Linked DNA regions of Alligator mississippiensis. The main gene of each other region encodes a partner of the protein of the gene in region 2 in a complex. Links are inferred from orthologs where the notes say so. Each region holds a gene or a part of one and is shown on either strand. Other genes may lie near its edges.

The links.
Region 1: STX7 (region 2) and VAMP7 share a complex: the UniProt entries of both Homo sapiens proteins name them as parts of the SNARE complex. The link is inferred for Alligator mississippiensis from reciprocal best matches to the Homo sapiens genes STX7 and VAMP7.
Region 3: STX7 (region 2) and VTI1B share a complex: the UniProt entries of both Homo sapiens proteins name them as parts of the SNARE complex. The link is inferred for Alligator mississippiensis from reciprocal best matches to the Homo sapiens genes STX7 and VTI1B.

The regions. Positions count from the first base shown.
Region 1 is NC_081831.1:35,659,448-35,666,914, reverse strand, and holds the start of VAMP7 (vesicle-associated membrane protein 7), read left to right. Parts: upstream 1-4,465; 5' UTR 4,466-4,582; intron 4,583-4,837; exon of another isoform or gene 4,838-4,857; intron 4,858-4,908; exon of another isoform or gene 4,909-5,008; intron 5,009-7,467. Other genes in the region: DNA-directed RNA polymerases I and III subunit RPAC2, read right to left, coding at 3,562-3,600. UniProt on the Homo sapiens protein: Involved in the targeting and/or fusion of transport vesicles to their target membrane during transport of proteins from the early endosome to the lysosome. Required for heterotypic fusion of late endosomes with lysosomes and homotypic lysosomal fusion.
Region 2 is NC_081824.1:115,199,632-115,206,976, forward strand, and holds the start of STX7 (syntaxin-7), read right to left. Parts: upstream 3,082-7,345; 5' UTR 2,953-3,081; exon of another isoform or gene 2,947-2,952; intron 27-2,946; 5' UTR 1-26. UniProt on the Homo sapiens protein: May be involved in protein trafficking from the plasma membrane to the early endosome (EE) as well as in homotypic fusion of endocytic organelles. Mediates the endocytic trafficking from early endosomes to late endosomes and lysosomes.
Region 3 is NC_081825.1:230,760,523-230,767,903, forward strand, and holds the start of VTI1B (vesicle transport through interaction with t-SNAREs homolog 1B), read left to right. Parts: upstream 1-4,379; 5' UTR 4,380-4,474; coding exon 4,475-4,589; intron 4,590-7,381. UniProt on the Homo sapiens protein: V-SNARE that mediates vesicle transport pathways through interactions with t-SNAREs on the target membrane. These interactions are proposed to mediate aspects of the specificity of vesicle trafficking and to promote fusion of the lipid bilayers.

The DNA.
Region 1 (7,467 bases), on a different chromosome or scaffold from region 2:
TCATTCCCTAGGCTGTAGGTATACTGGACATTTTTCCTCCCTAGGTACAGCACTTTGCATTTCTCCTTGTTGAACTGCATCCTGTTGTTTTCTGCCCACTTGTCCAACCTGTCCAGGTCTGCTTGCAGCTGTTCCCTGCCCTCCGGTGTGTCTACTTCTCCCCATAGCTTTGTGTCATCTGCAAACTTGGACAGAATACATTTCACTCCCTCATCCAAGTCGCTGATGAAGACATTAAAGAGTATCGGTCCAAGGACCGAGCCCTGCGGGACCCCACTGCCTACCCTGGGGGTCTTCAAGAGGAAGTTAGATAAGCATCTAGCTGGGGTCTTCTAGACCCAGCACTCTTTCCTGCCTATGCAGGGGGTCGGACTCGTCGATTTATTGAGGTCCCTTCCGACCCTAACATCTATGAATTATATGCATTAAGGTTGCAAACAAGGATGCACTTTTTGTAGAAAACAATGATTAAATCGAGGCTTCCTGACCAGTGATTTAAATTGTTATTTAAATGACACTTTAAAATCGATTTGAGTTAAATCAAATCTACCTTATTAACTTGTCAGCAATATTATTTAGCATCATAAAAGATGTTACCAGAACAAACTGGCATCACAGGCTGTGGTGCAGATAAACACTGGACAAAGTTATTCTTGTTTCTAAAGAGGAGAAAAGAAATCCTAACTCTGAATCATACTTTCACACCTCTTGACAAACAGCTTATTACAGGGGATGGGCAAGCAAACACAAAAACAATCCCTGGTAGAATAGGTGTTGGTTTTATACATTTCTGTAAATTACACTAGGTGCAAGATGACTAGATCTGCAGCTCTCTCTTGGTAATGCATACAGTACAGAGCTATTACCACACCTTGCCACTAAGCAGAGGGGAAACAGTTAACAGATTATTTTCTTTTAGCAAACAGCTACTACCCTGAGACAGATGTAGACAGATAACACCCTCAACTTCCACTGGTAGACTATGAACCTGAATGTGGGTCTGGATGGCCCCCCAATGCTTCTGCAAATCCCAGAGAAAAAAAAAATTCTTCCCTTACATGCAGGGATGCACTGACCTCCAAGTAATTCACTGCTGCAAAGGAATGCAATTTCCCCCCATACACATGTGTAATGCATTTTTAGAAGCATACATTAACCATTTAACTGCACCACTGCTGAGCTGGATCAATTAAAGTTAGCTACATAATTTTCATACCACTTTCAGCTCCAGTAGACATTTTTCCAAGAGAGGATGTTTCAACTGGATTTAGGTTACTGGAATCAGAACTCTGGGTAGAGGTTATACCTTATTAGACCAACAAGATATTTGCAAAAAAAATTCTTTATTCACAAGCGTTTGGGTACACACACACTTCTTCAGGCATAGGAAAATGCAAAGATGGTAAAATTTCTCCTAGGCAGAAATGCAAATTCATATTTCACAGGACAGTTGAAGGTATAAGTCACAGGGGCGGGCAAAATATGGCCTGTGGGCCAGCCCACCAGGCCATTCTATCCTGCCCATCGGGCCCCTAAAAAATTTAGAAAATTAATATTTATCTGCCCCTTGCTCCCTGTCATGCGGCCTTTGATGGCTTGCCAAAACTCAGTAAGCAGCCCTCCACCTGAAATAATTGCCCACCCCTGGTATAAGATCTCCTGGTTGGCAAAGTTCATTTTGTGCAAATTTAGCTCAGATAAAAAGTTTGAGCAGTCTATTTACCTTGAAGTTGTCTGATAGTAAGTGGTATGTTAAAGAGGTGCATCCAAGAGAGATTTTTTGGGGCTGATACCAACAAATGATGCTTAAAGATGCATATCATCCGATACGATCCGATTTCTGATACGCAGCCCAGCAGCAAAGAGCAGTGTCTGGCTGGTAAGTCTGTTGTGATGGAAGGGGAGGTGGAAGGGAAGGGGCATGGCAGGGGCAGATCGAGGCCCCTGTAGTGAGGGAGGGAGGGGGAGGGAGGGAGGGAGTGGGGCTGGGGCAGATGTTGCCCAGCCAAGGCAGAGTGGGACACAAGATGGAACCATGGCTTGTTTGGGGGGTGCAGGGAGGGGGGGCTCCCGCTGCTGACAGCACCCCAGGAGGACTCAGGGGGGCATGTCGCCCCACATCTGCATGGGAAGGAGGGGGCTGCCACTGAGAGCTGGAGCAGGGGCTGCGCCAGGCTCTTCCCAGCAGGGGCTGAGCTGTGCTGTGCTTGGGGTGGGCGGCAGCAGCACTGGGAGAGGGGTTATGGGGTGGGGGCTGCAGCCACCCCAAAATTCACCGTAGCCCAAACCCAGCGCCACTGCCCACCCTGTGCGGTTAGCAGTCTGACCCAGCCCCTGCCAGGAAAAGCCCAAGGCAGCCCTGATCCCACGCTGCAGTGACAGCCCACCCCTCCCATGCAGATCTGGGGGGCACACATCCCACCCGTGCCCTCCTGGGATGTGCATAGGGATGGGAGCCTCTGCCCCACCTCAGACAAGCCATAGCTCCACTTACCAGCTGGATGCAGCTCTGCAAGCTGCCAGGCTGCGCTCCTCACCACCCACCTGCTGCGCCGCCACATCAGGCAAAAAAGCCGATTTCCGACAGTCAATTTTTTTTATATCAGTACAGATCTGATATTGGAACAATGTATCAATGCACCTCTATGAATTATTTCCTTCTGGTTATGATGTTTCATATTTTGCAAGAGGATGGGTAAACAATCAAGTACTAAATAAATGCGCAGTAACAGTAGCTCCAGCGAACACCTTTTTAGTGACATTACTGTGCAGTAGCCTAATAATACTGGGCAGTAGTGTACTGGCACTGTTTGTGCTGCAATGGGCTACCGCACAGTATTATTAGGCTGTTGGGCTGTTAGTGTCTCATGTAGATGCACCCGCTGTCTCCAAAATGACAACAGGCGAGAGATTAGGAGCAGATGTGCAACTCCCCTGCGGCTCTATAGCTAGTCTCTGCCCCTCCGCCCTCTTGCTCACTCCAGTTCCAAAGCACAGGTTAGATTGAGGGCTAGATTTTCCACACCTTAATTAGCAATGTTGGGAATGCTTAACTTGCATTAAAAAGATCCCCTTATTCATAAAAAAAGTTCATGGAGATGACAGATACTAGAAGAACAGTAAGTCATCTCATAGTTGCAAAAAGACCTTATGAGCCTCAAACCTGATGCAACTGTGCTCAGACCCTTTAGGAAAATTAACCCAGCCGGGCTCCTCCCTGGGCCAGGCCGCTTGCTGGCTACAGCTGCAGGTGCAAACAGGCGAGCAGCGCTGTCGGGGGCGCGCGTTTCCAATTCCCCGTTGCTTGTCTAGCTCCAGCTCCTGGCCCCGCCCCCCTCTCATTCAAAGAGAGAACCAGAACCAGCGCGAAACCAACCCCTTGGAGATGCGACAAAACACCGCCCCCCCCCGCCGCGGTGGTTACAACCCCGGGGAGGCGAGCACGTGGCGCGGCGGCGGCGCGCAGACACCCGCGCTCCGGTCCCGGCCCCGGAGCACAGCGGGTCCCGCTCCGCGCGGCGGCTCCGCCCCGCGCCGGGGGCAGCGGCTGCCCGCACTCACCGTCTCCAGCACCGGCTTCCTCTCCACCTCCTCGGCCATGGCTGCGGCGTGCGGGGCGGGCGCCTGCCCGGGCCGACCCCTCCGGCGCCGGGGCCGCTGGGAGCTGTAGTCCGGACCGGGGCCTGCGGTCTCGGGGAAGCCCCAGCTCCCGGAGTCGCGGGATCCGCCGCGGTCGCTGTGGGGGAGCGCGAAGGGCCTTCCGTCTTCTGGCCCGGGACGGCGCCGGCGCCTCGCCCAGTCCCGCGCCCGCTGCTCAGTTTCCGATTGGGCTGGGCCGTGAGGCGCAAGTGCGGGAGCCGGGGGAAGCGGCACTGGAAGTGGCTCGCCTGCTGCCAACCTCCTGGCTCTTTGGCGAGCCGCCTGGGCTGCAGCCGGGGCGCAGGGGAGCCCGGCACCGATCCAGGCACGGGGGGGGCTGGAGGCAATTGGGGCCCTGTTCCCACAACCCGGGGCCTAGATCTGACAGCACAGGGGCAGCAAGGGGCCCGTACTGCCAGCCGCCGTCGGCGCTGGAGCCGCTTGCGCCGCGCCCACAGGCCGAGCACCCGGGTCAGCCCAGCCCAGATCCTGCCCGGAGACCACGGGCTCTGCCACAGGGCGCGCAGCAGAGGCGCTCCCGGAACGCCCGGGCCCGACCGCCTCGGCTCCCGCCACCACCGCGCCTTCGCGGCTGCATTTCACGTGGCTCGTGTGTGAGGTCGTGCGTGCGGCCTGCCCCGGCCGGCAGGGGGCGCTCGGCCCCTCCCGCCACCTGAACTACCCTTCCCAGCAGGCAGCGCGGCGGCCCACACGGGGGCCGCTTCCCAGCAGGCAGCGCGGCGAGCGCGGAAGCCGTCCCGCTCTCCCGCCCCCTCCCGAACTACATTTCCCGGGAGCCCCCGCGGCGTCGGGAGCGCCCCTGGCGGAAGTGCACGTGCCGGCCGGGAGGAGCGAGCGCCGCGGCGAAGGGGCGGGAGCAGATAAACAGCGCGCCGGGCGGGGGCTCCTGCTGCAGCCCTTACGTCGCCGCTGGCCGGCCCGGGTGAGCCTGGCCCTGCGTGGGTGGGGGAAGTGTTAGCCCCGGGCGGGGGCGGCATCGTCCTGTGCTAGCGGCGCGGCGCTCCTCGGCCCCTCGGGTGCTGCCCTCCCCTCCCCCCCCGCGGTCAGTTGCTTGCGCAGTGTCGCTGTTGGGCGGCGGGAGGGGCTGCCTGGCGGGCCCCGGGAAGCAGCTGCTGGGACAAGTGGAGTGGGCTTGGGAAGGGGAAGGTGAGACGGAAGTGCGGGGGGCCGTGGTGTCGGCTGATGCTGGAGCCCGAGGTAATTGGGTAACGCCGTCCTCTACCCTCCCCCCAATTTCACAACTGCTAGAAGAGACTCCGTGTTGTAGCCAGGCACCTGCATTGAGCAACATGTTCCCGCATTAGCATTTGGGTTGCTGGAAGCAAAAACCAGAGGGCTGTGGAAATCGGTGAGCTTGTGATTGGGCACGTGGGCTTTTATGTTGGAGGAGTTGGAGAAGCCAAGCGAAGGCCTGCTGTGGTGGGGAGCGAGCTAGCTAGCGAGCAGCAGGGTTTTGGGGGGGGGGGGGTGTTGTCAGCAGAGGGTTCTCTCCCTTCCGCAAATGTCTTGTAAATTCTTACCTGTGCTTTATAATCCTTAATCTTATATTGGGGATTGTTAAGAACAGGATTGTAAACAAAACCAGAAATATCTTCCTGCCACTTCATAAATCCCCAGTGTGTCCACACCTTGACTACTGTGCCCAATTCTGGTCCCCTCGCCTCAAACTCTATATAAAGAACTAGAGAAGGCCTGGAGAAGGGCAACAAGGGTGATGAGCAGCACGGAGCGGCTTCTGTATGAGGAGAGACTATTCAGTTGATAAGAGATGCTTGTAGAAGGACATAAGGGTTTACAAAACACTAAATGGTGAGGAGAAAGTAAATGGGTATTTATTATGTACTCTCAATACAAGAACAAGGGGTCACAAAATAAATTTAGTAGGTAGTAAATTTAAGACTAACAAAGGGAGGTTCTTTTTCACACAGTGTGGCATTAAAGTGTGGAGCTCATTGCCACCAGATGTTGTGGAAACTGCAAGTTTAGCTAGGTTCAAAAAGGCATTGGACAAATTGTTGGAGGAAAAGGCCACCAGTAGCTATGGAGCTTAAGAGGGAGGGCTACAGCCCCTGAATTGGAACTTCCTGGACCTTAAGTGCTGGAGGCTGCAAGTGAGAGCGGCAGTGAAGAAACAAACCCTGGTCAGACACAGTTTGCTCTCCCTTTCAGCTTCAACACCCTGCCACTGTGTGAGATGGGGACTTGGTAAGATGGACCCATGGTCTGATCTAATAAATAGCAACTCCTATGTTCTTGTCTCATGAAATCAAGACTTGGGTTTTTTAACAGAGCAGTAACAATATTTTGGTGACATTTAATACACAGTTCCTTGGAAAACTCTTTGGTTTGCAGTTAAGCAGCTGGATCTCACCAAGACTGTTGGTGCCTGAGAATGAAACTGACCTGTTTAGTTAACCTTTTGAACTGGATGTCAGTTGATATCATTTAAGCTATAGGTTTAAATAGGCTACAAAATCAGGGGCAGACATTCACCTGGTTAATGAGACCTTCAATAGTCACATTTTTTTAAAGAGGAAAAACTGAGAAAGAAGTCTTCATGTGTTAGAAGTACAGCAGTTGCTCTTTAATAGTGTAATTCTAGCCTATCTAGCAAGTAGAAGCTCTTTGATTTACAAGTGGAATAATTTTAAAATGAGTAAAGGAATTAAGAAATTGAAGAGTTAAAAGGAACCATTGGATCACTTTTGGGTTTAAGTTGCCACTTTTAAATTTTGTTGCAAATGTTGCTCAAAGAGCCTCTTGAACAAGGCCTGGATCTGATTGGCTAACTGCTCGTATGGCAACATACCATATGTTGATTAGTGCTGGAGAAAACTTTTTTTCTTGACCTCAGGAGAGTTCATAGAGTACTTTCCCCAGTACTCTCTACTGTTACATCTGTTATTTCTTCTTCCTCTGTCAAAATTCTGGCCAGGATCTTCTTACTTATAGAAGACAAATGTGCTCCTCTTGGTATGCGAGTAATTAATAATGGTCATGTTCTCTTTGTAGTGGTCCTTTACCTTTGCTAGGACAAGAACTAAACTTTTCAACACTTGGGTTGTAGCTCCTTGTAACCCAAGCCTTTTAGAGTGCTCCTGCTTATTTTTATTGTGTCCAAAGGATACATTCCAGGCTATGTACTCTGTGTAAGGGTGACAGCCTGTGTTGTAGAAGGCATTGTCTCCCACAATTTCTTGTTGCTTTCCTTGCCTCCTGAATTACTTCTGTTCACCTTGGTCTTTTTTCAAAGACTGCTGGGAAACTTTCAGCTATTGCAGAAAGCAGTAATTCTGCTTACTTGCTGATTCTTGCATTTCTGCTTTGACTGTACAGGCTACCAACTTGTTTAATACACTGATTTCCCCCCCCCCATTCTGCAGGGCCCTCCTGGAGGAGAGGAAGATGGTAAAGGCTGGTCTTACTCCTTTCTGCCTTATCTTGGGCTGGGAGTTTGTTGCCTTTGTGTGTCTTAACACCTATCTAGTTGGAGAGCTTACTTGGAGCCTGAATTAGTAGGTTCAGATCTTCATTCAGGAAGCTTTGATTTGGGTCTTGTAGAGCATGGCTATATCTACATTTCTGGTGCCTAATGGCTATAAGTTTGCCTATAGGCTAGGTATACAATTCATAGATATAACTATGCAGATAAGATTTATCTTTGATTTTCCTGACTGTGAAAGACCCGTTAGAAGTTTAACCAGCACTTAGAAATATTAAGTTATTTGCCTTTACTGAAAGTAGAGGAGGTGAGAGGAAAGACTTTCTCCTGACAAGTGAGAGAATGGAAGTAGTCATTCCAGCTGA
Region 2 (7,345 bases):
GGCCTCGGCTTCTTAGATCACAGGTACTGAAAAATGACATTGGTGCATGTGTTAGTACAGAATTTGCCACAGTTCTCACAAATCTATTTCCTAATCTCAAACAGGCTTTTTGGGAACTACTACAATAAAATACAATTAGCTATGTTCCTTAAGAGCTTCCCTTCAAGTTAAGTTTGTTTTGTTGGCATGCATTCTAAAAAAAGTCAAATATGTAAAACTTAAGTAACATATCCCCTTACAGAAGGATATAGTTTTCATTGTGTGTACTGGAGACATGTAACCTTACAGGGAAGCTTTACTAAAGAATTTAGGAATCCTCATACTAGTTTCAGTTTAAGGGACTTTTAATGCTTCTCCCCTATTTGTTTGCAGCATTTATATAAAAAGCCTCCTGCCCTGATGTAAATATTTTTCTGCCTCAAGAACATATAATTAATAAATGCATTAGTCAGTAGTCACTGACCCAATTGATATAGGCACCTCAACTTTCTTGCCTGTTGTTTCTAGATTATTTTTTCCTCCAACTATTTTCCATTATACATATAATTAATTATCCCTGAAGCTAACATGACACAAAAATGTATCCATTCTGGGACTAAGTGCTCTAAATTTCTTCTGATAAAACCTTAACTAAGAATCCAGTGTTTACATTTCACACAGAATAGACAATAGAGCCAGACATATCACTCCCACTTTTGTTTCTAGACTTGTGAACTGTCTTGTTCTCAGGCTGAGAAAGAGAAGTGTAGAAGCTTTTCAACAGCAAAGGCCCCAGTAGCACTGTACCAGGAACGTGAAAAATCCATATAATTTACATGGAAAGTTAAGTTCCATTGTCATATACACACACATGATTACTGCAGTTGTCCATACTTGAATCTCTGTCCATATTTTCCTTAGAAGTAGTCCAAGACTGAAACAACAGTCTTGTTGCATATAAAGAACAAATTATGGCACAGAGATGATGCCCATTTTCAAGGCCGACCGATTCCCTCCCCCTCTACTACTGAATGCTAAAGTTGTCCTAAACCACATAAGTAAAACTTGACTTCAGATTCTTCAAAAGGAAAGTCCCTTGAATTTGGGGGCAAGAAAAAGGTCATTTAAACTATCATTTGGAGGTCATGGCATTAGAAGAGTGGTTCTCAACCTTTTTAGACTCAAAGCAACCCTGGAGAGACTCAACCCTTCAGAAAATGCCAGCTTCATTTTTCTGACTACAGAAAAATGATAGAGCAATTCTTTTTCCAAGAACTCAGAAAAACCGCAACAATGCATTTCTATTTGAAACTTCTGGGTTTATTTCATGAGTCACATCTGTAAACCTAATAGCACTGAAACTGCATGGTACCCCATGGCCCCCCTGAAAGGATCTCAAGGAACCCCATGATGCCGTGGCTCTGTGGCTGAGAATCGCTGTTAGAAACAAGGTAAATCCAAGTAGACTTTACAACTTCTCATCGTAAGCAAGACCTACATACACTTCTGCATCTCACATAGGACCACAGGATTATTTTTTACATGAGGCATCAAGCTAGATAAGAGCAGGGAAGGTGAGTTTAAACATGGCTGATTATTTACACATGAGTAGTATATGTGTATGGGGTTTAGGGCACAAGACCCTTGAGATCCCTTCCAACTCTGGAAGCCTTCAGCTGGCCTCTGAGATCAGCATCAGGAAAAGAGGCCATATGTGCATGTACATCTGTGCATGTGTGCGTACACATATTACATATAATGTATATGATACAGATGTGTACACACACATACACAGACATATACATACCCACTACATATAAAGTCTACATACACTATGTGTGCACATGCATGTGTATACAGGCCCATACAATGTATGTACACTATATATGTGTGCACATGTGTATACACACCTATATAATGTATGTACAGTATATACATTTGTGCATGCACGAGCATGTGTGCATAGGCATATACGCTGTATATATACCTACATGCATTATATATGATCTACAACACACATGCACACACATCTATACATATATGCACCCACACTGCATACTTTAGATTGATGGCTAGACAGATATAGTGTATACACATTATTAAAGTGTGTATACACACATATATACATATACACCCCCCCAACATTACACTATATATATATATATATATATATATATATATATATATATATATATATATATATTAGTGATAGAGATGGATAGGTAGGTAGGTACAGCATAGGCACATTATGTAGGTATGTGTATATCCATACATATACAGTATGCATCCACACTGTTTAGAGCTAGATAGATAGCGTATAGACACATTGAATAGGTCAGCGGTTCCCAACCTTTTTTTCCCCGCCATGCCCCGCTGCTGGGAGCGGCATGTGGTGGCCCAGGGAGCCCCTGGCACACGGTGCGGCGGCTCATCTTTTCTGTGCAGTGCTACCAGCATTGCCCATGACCCTCATTTGGGTCGTGGCCTGGGGTTGGGAACTGCTGCTATAGGTAAACACGCACACATATATACATACGCATGTGTGGGGGTGTGTACATATCCACCCACCCACATATACAGAGAATGTACACGTATTACACAGCTGTGTAATTTTTTTTGCAAAAAAAATCTTGTTGGTCTAATAAAATATATAATCTCTTACTACGAGTCCTGATTGCACATAGCTGTGTATACACGTACAGACACACAGACACCCACACACACCCTCGCCCGGGCCTCGGCGGGCTGCTTCCCCCTTGGCGGCGGGGCCGGGCCGAGGCCGGAGCGGAGCGGAGCGGGGCGCGGCGCTGCCTCTCCCGCCGCGCCGCGGGGCCAGGAGCCCGCCCGGCCCGGGACCCCCAGCGCGGGGGGCCAGAGGGCTGCCCCGCCCCGCATTGCACTGCACCGCCTAGCCCGGCCCGGCCCAGGGCGGTGGCCCCTGCACGCCCCACTCCCAACGCCTCTTACCCTCACCCCGGCGTCACCTCCGCTGCTGGTCCTGCTGCCCCGGCAGCTCACGACCCCAGACCTGCCCGGCCCGGCCCGGCCCAGCAGGCGCTGCCAGCTGCTGCAGTGTCAGCGGGCGGGGCGGGGCGGAGCGGGGCGGAGCGGAGCGCGGCGGTCCTGCCCGCCCCAGCCGGCTGTGGGGCGGTGCCTGCAGCGACCTCCCCGCCTCGCCCCGCCCCGCCCCGCCCCGCCCGCACTGGGGGCGGCTGTGCCGGGCTCGGGCCAGTCCTGGGTTTTGGGAAGGGTGGCGCATCCTGTGACGAGCTAGTTGTTGGGGCTGGTGCTGCTTTGAGGGGTTGGGCTCGATGCCCTCCTGAGGTCTGTTGCAGCCCTCCTCTTCTGTGAGCCTGTGATCCTGGCACTGCACCTGCTCACTCCCCCGTTCAAATGGAAAGGAGAGGCTTTCCCACTAGGCTGGGGCCGCAGCGCTGCCTTCTTCAGCTGCAGCAGGAGGCAAAAAAACAAATAAGGCCCCTTTTAGAGCGTGTTAAAAACCCGTCGGCCGCTGCAGAAGCCCCTAAAGCGGCGTTCCCCAATGTGTGGGTCGCGACCCAGAAGTGGGTGGACTTGAACAAACTTGAAAAAGGGATTGGCCTTTAAAGGAGGAAAATGTTGGAAACCGGGTGTTTTCCCTTGCAGGCTGGCAGAGGTGCAGCCTACAAGGGGCTGCTTGCCCCCTCCCTCCTCCCCCATGCCTCACCCACCCACACACACTGGGGGAGCAGGTCAGGAGTGCAGGGCCCTGGACCTAGACTGGCCATTGCTGTTTACAAATGGGTCCTGGTACAAACAAAAGGTTGAGAACCAGTGCCCTAATGGACAGCAGGGTGAAAAGAAAGCAGAAGAAAGGCTAGGTTGCTGGCTGGAGCCTCCAGAGCATGAAAAAAGATGGGAAGGTTGTTCACCCGTCACATGAAGGGCTTAGGAAGGATCAGGGACAATGAGCCACAACGTCAAGCAAGTCCCTCAGTGCTGCCTGACTCAAAATGCTGCCACTTCCATTGGACGGTAGGGCTGCTCTAGGACAGTGCAAAGCAGGGTATGGATGATGTGGCACTTTATCACATAAGACACTACACATCTTTTCCTCCAGTTAAAAGAGTCATTAACATCACCTATGTCTGTCCCCTGATAAAGGGCTGTTCAATGGGTGGCCTGGAGGCCACATGTGGCCACCAAGGGGTTGTCTTGCAGCCATGGGTTTTGAAAAGGGCTGTGCAACTGATATGGTGCATCACCACAGATGACACTTTTTTGTCCCAGTTAAAAGAGGAACTGGAAGCTTTACTAATACGCTAGAGGCCTCGTGCTATATTATTCAGTTTAAGATCAAAGCAAAAACAAATCTAACTTTATTAGCATGTTCCCTCATTTGCTAGATTCTAAATTAAGTTTAAAAAACACAAGAAACTAGACAAAAATGGTCAAAATAGTCAAGATACTGTGCCATTAGTCCTCCAGTCATCATTGTTAAATGTACATCTCTTATTCAAATTGGTAAAACAAAATCTGCTCTTCCTGAGAGTTTTGAGAGTGCCTCCAATACTTCACTGTCAGTTGTTTCTACACTGAATTAATATTACTACACCTGAGTTAAGGTTTTTAGCTGGAGCTAGAAAACAGTCTGCTGGGCTTTGAAATAGAAGAGAGATATTACCAGGAATGGCTGGCAGACAGCAAACTTGCAGAAAGACGGTTTGAATAGTGGAACATCAAAGACATTAAAATGTAGAGAGGGTCGTTAACCCCTATGGAATGAAGAGACATTAGCAGGAATCAGGTAGATTTTAGTAAGCCGTGAAGTAAATTGACTCCCTCAGTGTTGCCTGATTAGAAATGGAACCAGTAGGTTGGTTTTTAAGTTTGGGTACAGCAGGAATCAAGGAGGGGTGCAACTGCACCACTGCACCCCCACTACATCTGCTGCTGGACAGGGTGATCCTCATGGCAGGTCCCTTGGCCCCACCTGGCCCAGGGTCAGGAGGTAGCCTAGGCACTGCAGACAATGCATGCAGCTGGTCCTGCCACCCTGGGTGCAGAGGTGCCACCCGGCATAAGGTACAACCTGCCCTATCCCTAAATGCAGCTCTTGGGCACACCAGAAGCTGTAGTCTGGGGGCTGGGTGGCACGGCAATGGGGTAGCAGCTGTGGCAGCATGGTGGCCTGACTCTGCTTCCCGGCAGTCCCCATGATGGCAGTTCGCTCTGCCCTCACGCTTCCAGCTGCCACTGCCAGTGTTTCCACCACCACTACTGGACCCAGTCCTGCTGCCCAGGCACCCTGGCCCATCCACCCTGCACCTACTGATCAGAATGGGCAAGCAAGTGGGCAAGGTCTCCATGGAGTTTGGCTCAGGGCCCCCGCAAACTGGGCAAGCTCAGCCAAGCTCAGCCAAGTGAATGGGATGGGGTCATGGGCAGGTCGGGAGCAGAGTCTGGGAGTAGAATGGGTAGCTGGGGCCAGGGCTGGGTTCACAGGGCAGTGATAGAGTGGGGCCAGGGCCCAAGGCAGAGCCATGATCTGCTCCTCACATGTCCCTGCAACAGGCACTGCTCCCTGCCTACTCACGGCCCTATTCCATCTGCCTGGCCAAGCACACCCTGCCCCCAGGGGTCCTTGGTCAGTCTTTATGGAGACCCTGCCAGCCTGTTCTGTCCAGTGCCCCTGGTTGTGGATGCGGGGCCGATGGGCCTCGGGTCAGACAGGATCAGTTAGCATCTTCCCAGCCCCCCACCCCACCCCATGCACCCTGCCAGGCAGTGTAAACAGCTGTAACGGGGGGGCAGAGGCCAGGTCAGCACTACCCCCCTCCTCTCCTCTGGCCCTCCACATCTCACCAAAACTCCTTAAGTGGCCCTCCAGCCCAAATAATTGCCCACCCCTGTCTTAGTAGAATTTTAAATGCCAACTTGAACAAAAAATTGTGGAACAAGTTCCTCAGACTGGCTTGTGTGAAGCATAGTCTAAACAGGGATCCTTATCCCATTACCTGGATTAGCTTTAGTGACCCCTTCATCCATACAAGTGCATTATTTGTTTGCCCCTCTGAGCACTGCCCCTTTCCCCTACAGTCTCCAGCCTCCCTTCCTTCCCTGTCTTTTGCATCAAAATCACGCAGTGCTGGTATTGCTCAATCTTTTGGCCCCATGGGCTAGGTAAGTGTTGCAGGGCTGGTCTGTGGGCCAAACTGGGGTCTGTGCTGCCTCTGCCAGATCTCTGCCACCTCGCTCAGATTTGCACCATCTTGCTCAGATCCGTGCTACCCTGATCAACTTTATGCTGCCCTGCTCAGCCCTATGCCATCCCACTCAGCCATGTGCCATGCTACCCTGGGACATCCCACTCAGCCTCATGCACTCAGTCTAGTACACAGGGTCATGCTGTCCAGCCCATAGGGCTCCCCCTGGGTCTAGAAATATGACAACAGAGGAGGAGCAATTAGCTGCCACCACTCCCCTGCCACCAGATTTTCAAACCCAGGCAGAGTCCTATGGACCAGATCCAGCCCACAGGCCAGGGCTTCAGCATTCTGATTTATTTGGTAGCCTGCTCTCTGCATGCCCTTTCTTAGCATCTGATAAAGTTGGCTCTTACTATGAAAGCTTATGCATCTCTGATTCAGTTAATCTGTAAGGTGCATCTCTACCCTGCCTTCTTCAGTAAGCAATAATGCCACAATTCTAATAGCTGAGGCATGCTTCACACACATACTGAGCTAAGCCTTCTAGCCAAGACCTCACTATTTCCACAGAAGTGGTTGGTAGTACCATCAATAGTACACATTGTATGCTCACTTTGCATCCATGGTGTCCATGCAGTATCTTATCCAGTGATTTTATTTCTGAAAACAATCTTAAATCTCAACTCTTCAGTCATTACTATTTCAATAAGGTATAACTAAAATATGTGTATTTAAAAAAATCACATAAGCACACAACTCCAAGTCAATGGCCAATTAAGTAAGTTTTTAAATAGCCATGTTTTCTGTGGAAATCAAATAGAAACACATTTTTAATTTTCGCTTGCCTGTTATAAAGATATGTGGGAAATGTTACCACTAGAAAAATGCATTAACAGAGCTAAGAACCGGCTCCTTCTTGGTTACATAAGCACCTCAATGGGACTTACCTGGAATTTAGGTGCCCATGTTCCAAATACTGATTTCTATTGGCTCTGTTCCAGCAGCCCCAGAGTTCAGTAGGTGCCCACATTCAGATGGCACTTGGACTCCATTTTGGACTCCAAAATTTCTTGGGTACTTTGCCTGCACTTGGTGTTTGAATATGCACAGACGTGATTCAAGTTGATCACTTGTTCATCTAAGTCTCCTCCTGTCCAGTCCCTCCTTCCAATCAAGAG
Region 3 (7,381 bases), on a different chromosome or scaffold from region 2:
GGCCACAGTCAGAGTACTGCGTCCAGTTCTGTGCGCCGCACTTCAGGAGAGATGTGGCCAGCATCGAGAGGGTCCAGCGGAGGGCCACTCACATGATCAGGGGACAGCAGGGCAGACCCTACGAGGAGAGGCTACAGGACCTGAACCTGTTCAGCCTTCACAAGAGAAGGCTGAGAGGGGATCTAGTGGCCATCTAGAAACTTACCAGGGAGGACCAGAGGTGAATCTGAGAGACCCTGTTCCCCTGAGCGCTGCCCTGAATAACAAGGAATAACAGCCATAAGTTGACAGAGAGTAGGTTCAGGCTAGACATGAGGAGGCGCTACTTCACAGTCAGGGCGGCCAAGATCTGGAACCAGCTTCCAAGGGAAGTGGTGCTGGCTCCTATGTTAGGGGTTTTTAGAAGGAGGCTTGATAACTACCTAGCTGGGGTCATATGAGCTTAAACTTAGTAGGGGTCATATGAGCCCAGTATTCATTCCTGCCCAGGGCAGGGTGTCGGATTTGATGATCTGCTCAGGTCCCCTCTGACCCTTCATCTGTGAATCTATGAATCCCATTAGGACCTTAGGTAAGCCCAGTATAGATACCAACCCACCAACTGTTTTTGCTGACCTAGTAATGGGGCACCTGGAGGGGTTGAATGTATTTAAGTCAACAGGTCCTGATGATCTTCGTCCTAGAGTACTTAGGGAATTAACTGGAGTCATAGTGGAGCCGCTGGCACAACTGTTTGAGCATCCTCGTCCTAGAGGATTGGAAAAGGACCAATGTGGTCCCTATTTTCAAGAAGGGGAGGAAGGATGAACCGGGTAACTATAAGCCAGTTAGTCTTACCTCTATCTTTGGCAAGACCTTTGAGAAAATTGTTAAGGATAACATTTGTGGGGGACCAGTGGGTAAAATGATGCTAAGGGGCAATCAGTATGTGTTCATAGCAGGCAGATCCTGCCTGACTTAACCTGGTTTCATTTTATGACCAGGTCACAAAATGCTTGAATGGAGGAGTAGAAGTAGATGTTATTTACTTAGATTTTAAAAAGGCCTTTGACATAGTGTCCCACCCAATTCCTATTAATAAACTAAACAGTTGCAATATAGATTATTACAGGGTCCGGCAGGTAGAAACACCCAGAGAGTGGTGGTAGGTGGGTCAGTTTCTACCTGGAGAAATGTAGGTAGTGGAGTCCCCTAAGGCTCTGTCCTGGGACCACTCCTATTCAATTATCTTCATTGGTGACTTGGACGAGGGAGTAGAAAGCACCCTGTCCAAGCTTGCTGATGACACCGAACTATGGGGGGATTCATAGATTCGTAGATGTTAGGGTCAGAAGGGACCTCAATAGATCATCGAGTCTGATCCCCTGCGTAGGCAGGAGAGTGCTAGGTCTAGATGACCCCAGCTAGATGCATATCCAACCTCCTCTTGAAGACCCCCAGGGTAGGGGAGAGCACCACCTCCCTTGGGAGCCCGTTTCAGACCTTGGCCACTCGAACTGTGAAGAAGTTCTTCCTAATGTCCAGTCTAAATCTGCTCTCTGCTAGCTTGTGGCCATTATTTCTTGTAACCCCCGGGGGTGCCTTGGTGAATAAAACCTCACCAATTCCCTTCTGTGCCCCCGTGATGAACTTATAGGCAGCCACAAGGTCGCCTCTCAACCTTCTCTTGCGGAGGCTGAAAAGGTCCAGGTTCTCTAGTCTCTCATCGTAGGGCTTGGTCTGCAAGCCCTTAACCATATGAGTGGCCCTTCTCTGGACCCTCTCCAGGTTATCTGCATCTCTCTTGAAGTGCGGTGCCCAGAATTGCATGCAGTACTCCAACTGCGATCTGACCAGCGCCCAATAGAGGGGAAGTATCACCTCTTGGATCTATTCGTCATGCATCTGCTGATGCACGATAAAGTGCCATTGGCTTTTCTGATGGCTTCGTCACACTGCCGACTCATGTTCATCTTGGAGTCCACTAGGACTCCAAGATCCCTTTCCTCTTCCGTGCCACCCAGCAGGTCATTCCCTAGGCAGTAGGTATGCTGGACATTTTTCCTCCCTAGGTGCAGCACTTTGCATTTCTCCTTGTTGAACTGCATTCTGTTGTTTTCTGCCCACTTGTCCAACCCGTCCAGGTCTGCTTGCAGCTGTTCCCTGCCCTCTGGCATGTCCACTTCTCCCCATAGCTTTGTGTCATCTGCAAACTTGGACAGAGTACACTTCACTCCCTCGTCCAAGTTGCTGATGAAGACATTAAAGAGTATTGGTCCAAGGACCGAGCCCTGCAGGACCCCACTGCCCACACCCTTCCAGGTCGACGCCGACCCATCCACCACGACTCTCTGGGTGTGACCCTCTAGCCAATTCACCACCCACCGGACTGTGTAGTCATCCAAGTCACAGCCTCTTAACTTGTTCACCAGTATGGGGTGAGATACCATATTGAAGGCCTTCCTGAAGTCTAAGTATACGACATCCACCCCTCCTCCTGTGTCCAGGCGTTTCGTAACCTGGTCATAAAAAGAGACTAGATTAGTCAGGCAGGATCTACCTGCTACGAACCTGTGCTGGTTTCCCCTCAGCATAATTTGTCCTGCCAGGCTCTCGCAAATGTGAGCCTTGATAATTTTTTCAAAGATTTTGCCAAGGATGGAGGTGAGACTGACTGGCCGATAGTTGCCCGGGTCCTCCTTCCTCCCCTTCTTGAAAATGGGGATCACATTGGCCCTTTTCCAGTCCTTCGGGACTTGGCCCGTGCGCCACGAGCTTTCAAATATTCCCGCCATTGGCTGTGCAATGATGTCGGCCAGTGCCTTCAGCACCCTCGGATGGAGCTCATCCGGGCCTACTGACTTAAAGGCATCCAGTTCTTCCAAGTGACTCTGCACCATCTCAGGGTCTACGCACGGTAGTCTGGCGCCTTGCTGCTGCCTCTCTACAACCCCAGTGAGAGACTTGTCGTGCCCCTCACTTAGGAACACTGAGGCAAAGAACTCGTTGAGGAGTTCAGCCTTGTCCCCTCTGTCCGTCACCAATTGTTTCTGCCCATTTAGCAGGGGTCCTATTCCACCCTGGGCCTTCCTTTTACTCCCTATATATCTAAAAAACAATTTCTTGTTGTCCTTTACTTGGGATGCCATCCTCAGCTCCATGGTAGCTTTGGCCCGTCTAACTGCCTCCCTACAAGCACGAGCAGAGGAGGTATACTCATCTTTGGTGATCTCTCCCTGTTTCCACTTTTTATGTGCTCCCCTTTTGGCCCTTAGGCTGCCCTGGATTTCTGTGGTCAGCCAAGGAAGCCTCCTGGCCCCTTTCCCTCTTTTTCCTCCCATCGGGATCATCTCCCTCTGTGCCTGATGTACACAAACTACACGGCACAAAGTGAATCCAGGCTGATTTGGACAGGCTGGGGAAATGGACCGAACAGAATAGGATGCAGTTTAACAAGGATAAGTGTCAGTAACACAACTGCAGAAAGGGATCGCGGAGTCTTAGTCGACTCCAAAATGAACATGAGTCACCAGTGTGATGAGATAGTTAAGTAAAGCTAACCGCACCCTGTCTTGCATAAGTAGGTGCATCACAAACAGGTTTAGGGAGGTGATACTTCCCCTCTATGCAGCACTGGTCAGGCCACAGCTGGAGTACTGCATCCAGTTTTGGGCACCACACTTCAGGAAGGATGCGGATGGCCTGGAGAGGGCTCAGAGGAGGGCCACTCATCTGGTTAAAGGCCTACAGAAAACCCCCTAAGTGGACTGACTGGGAGAACTGAACCTCTTCAGCCTCCGTAAGAGGAGGCTGAGAGGTAATTGCATGGGCGCCTACAAACTCATTGGGGGGGGGGGTTAGCAAGAAATAGGGGATACAATGTTTACCAGTGCGGCTGTCAGGGTAAGTAGAAATAATGGCCACAAACTGGAAGACAGCAAATTCAGATTGGACATCAGGAAATAAAACCTTTATAGTGAGGGTTGCCAAAATACAGAATAAGCTCCAAGAGAGGTGGTGCTGTTCCTTTCCCTGGAGGTGCTTAAAAGGAGATTGGACACCTGGCTGGAGTCATCTGAGCGCATCCGCATAGAACCACGCCGCCGTCCGCACTAGCCCGGCACTCCCGTGACCGCCTTATGACTGTCCCTACGCCGGCCTACAATTCCCAGCATGCCCTGCGCGCCCCGGGGTCCTGATGATGCCCTCTAAGGTGACGTAAGTGCGCGCTTGATTCGTTAGTCACCGTTGGGAGCAAAGTTGGACCTCCCGAATATCTCCCCCCGACTCTTCCTCGACAGGCAGCTGGAGCCTGCCTTCAGCTTGCTCCGGACGGAGCTTTTTTTTTTTTTCCTTCTTTTTTTTTTTCTGATCAGGCGCCAATTAGGGCACCCCCTTCGCGAGACAGAGGGAGGCCCCCTCTCACACATCCCGGAAGTAGCGGCGCGGAGCGGGCGGCAGGGTCTGGGCAGGGGCTGCCTCTGTCATCGCCGTCATGGCAGTGCGGGGCCCGGGCTCCTCCGAGCACCTGGAGCGGCTGCACGAGATCTTCCGGGAGCTGCACGGGCAGCTGCGCGTCCTCCCCGAGCGCCTACGGGGCGGCCTGGCCGGTGAGTGAGTGCGGCCCGGGTCGGGGGAGCTGCCGGCCCGGCCCCGGCCCCTTCCACTTCCACTGTGCCGCTGGATCCGGGCCGGGTACTGCCCCGGCACTGCCCATCGGGGTGCCCGCCACAGCGTCCGAGCACCTCTCAGTGTAGCCGCGTGTGTAGGGTGCCAGTGCCACCCCTCCAGGATTGCCTTGGATCCCAGGGATTATCTGTGAATCTCCAGGAGACTGCTGGGAGTCACCCAGGGGGTAAATGATGGGGCACTCTTTAAAATAAATGTTAAATACAGTAGTCCAGTGCGCTTTTAAAATGTAACAGTAATGTGCATTTGCCTTGCTGATGTAAATCTGCACGCTGTAATTAAAGTCCTTATGTGAAACCTCACGGAATATATTCAAACAGATTGGTGACCCTGTGGGTGTGCAGGCATTACTGTATTTGTGCCATCATTTCAACCCTCGTATGATATACACTCAACAGTAGTAAAAGTGTTCAAAATGTCCAATAACTTTTGAGGCAGCTCATTGAGGCAGCATATGCAAAACCCAAGGCGCTCTTGGGAAGTTTTTTGTTAATATTGTTCGTGTTCCAGGTCAAACTAGCCAAATCCTATCAATTGAGCCAGAACTCAATCGTTTCAAAGCCCGCGTCGACTGAGCTGGCAGAACTCGATCATTCTGAACACCGTGTGTGGCGCTAGAACCCGTGAGCGTCCTCTGTCCCAGGCTGTCTCCTGAGGACTTCAGATACTCCCAAGTCCATTGGCAGTAGGGGTGCAACGATAAAGATTTTTTTGGCTGATACTGATGATCAATTGTTAACCAGCTATATTGGCTGATGCAGATCTGATTGCTGACATGCAGCCTAGCAGTTTGGGGAGCATGGTCCAGCTGGTAAGTCTGTGGGGTGGAAGGGGAGGGGGAGGGAAGGGGCATGGCGGGGGTAGATCAAGGCCCCCTTGGTGAGGGAGGGAGTGGGGCAGGAGCAGGCACTGCCCAGCTGGGGTGGGATGTGGGACGGAGGCGCAGCGAGGGGGGGCAGCTCCCGCCACTGTGCGCAAATCTGTGGGAGGCATGGAGGCCATGTGTACCTTGGATTTCTGCACGGGACAGGGAGGGCTGCCCACTGTGGGCTGGGGCCAGGGCCTGCGCCAGCCTCTTCCTGGCGGGAGAGCTGGGCCGGGGCTGTGCTCAGGGCAGGCAGGGCTGGGGTGGGTGGCAGTGGCCCTGGGAGTGGGAGGCTATGGAGTGGCTACAGCTAATTTTGGGGTGGCTGTAGCTTTCCCTGTAGCCCCTGCCCCCAGTGCTGCTGTTGCCTGTCCTGCCCCCACCCACCCCACGTACAGCCCCAGTCCCACCTAGCCCCCCACCAGGAAGAGGCTGGTGCAGCCCCTGGCCCTGAGCCCGCAGTGAACAGCCCGCTGCATGCAGAAATCTGGGGGACGCATGCCCCCATGTCTCCCCCAGAGGTGTGCACAGCATCAGGGAGCTGTGTCGTGTCCGTCCCCCCCCCCCCCCCCGGACTAGCCACCTGCAGCTCCATCCCACTTCTTGCCCTGTCCTGACTGGGCAGCCCCTGACCCAGCCCTACTCCCTCCCTCACTGTGGGGGCCTCGATCTGCAGCCCTATGCCCCTGCCTTTCCCTACCACAGACTTATTGCCTGGATGCTGCTCTCCAAGCTGCCAGGCTGCATTCCTGGCCACATGCATGCTGTGCCTGCGCAGATCCATGCAGCATTTATTGGTGACATTATTGGCTACACTAGCCAAAAAAAGCTGATTGCTGATAATGTCAGTTTTCTTCTTATCGGTGCCAGTCCGATATGAACCAGTCGGTGCACCTCTAATTGGCAAGCATCCTACGTGCAGGCTTAAGCCCGGAAGTCTTGGAATTTGGATTCCCTCTACATTTTGGGCTTGTTACAGGACTTTCTTATGGCTGCTTGCCTTAAAATAAAGAAATGTTTTGAGTTTGACCCAGTTCTTACTTGCTCACTGGCAACTTACAGTAAGTAAGAAGATGACTTATTTGCATACTTAGTTGCATATTTTTTCAGTGTACGATAGTTTTTCAGCAAATATAATAATTTTGAGCTTCCAATATAATAATTTGTATTTAAGACCTGGCAATCCTTGCACCACTGCTCTAAACTACTTTTCTTTCCTGTATGAGACCTGCGCTGCTCAGGGAAACTGGCTCATGAGAAATGGGCTCAATAGCAGTATCCAGTGCAGGAAGCGATGCTGGCAAGAGGATGCTTTTCCTTGTATGTCTTTGTTTTAATGGGAGGCTGGTGCTAGTGGTAGGTAAAGCACCCCTCCCTCCCGGCAGCTGGTCTCCCTGTAAGTCCCACGATGAGCTTATCGTGTATTTCAAGAACTGAAAAAAGGAAGGAGCCAGAGGAAGGGATTTCTACCAGTGTGGACGAATCTCCTCGCAGTCAGCATGTTCTCTTGTTGCATGGCCTGACACGTAGTTGCCTCCTGCCTGTCTGGCCAGCTTTGTTTCTCCACTAGAGGAGTGGCTAGGGCAAACCAGCAATGTACAGTATTGTTCTATGGGAGTATAGCCTTGTGACCACCAGGGCTGACTTTCTGTAACTCTGTGAACTGAGAAGTGAAACCTAAGAAAAGGCTATGGCTTGTTTAGAATCCAGCAGATTGTAGGCTTGGTAACACAGAATTGTTCCTTTCACATAACTAGCTCTCAGCCAATTGGTCAAGTTCAGGGTTTTAGTCATTGTCTTTGAAGCTGTCCATAAAACTGGCCCAGGAAGGACTGTATCATCTAGCAT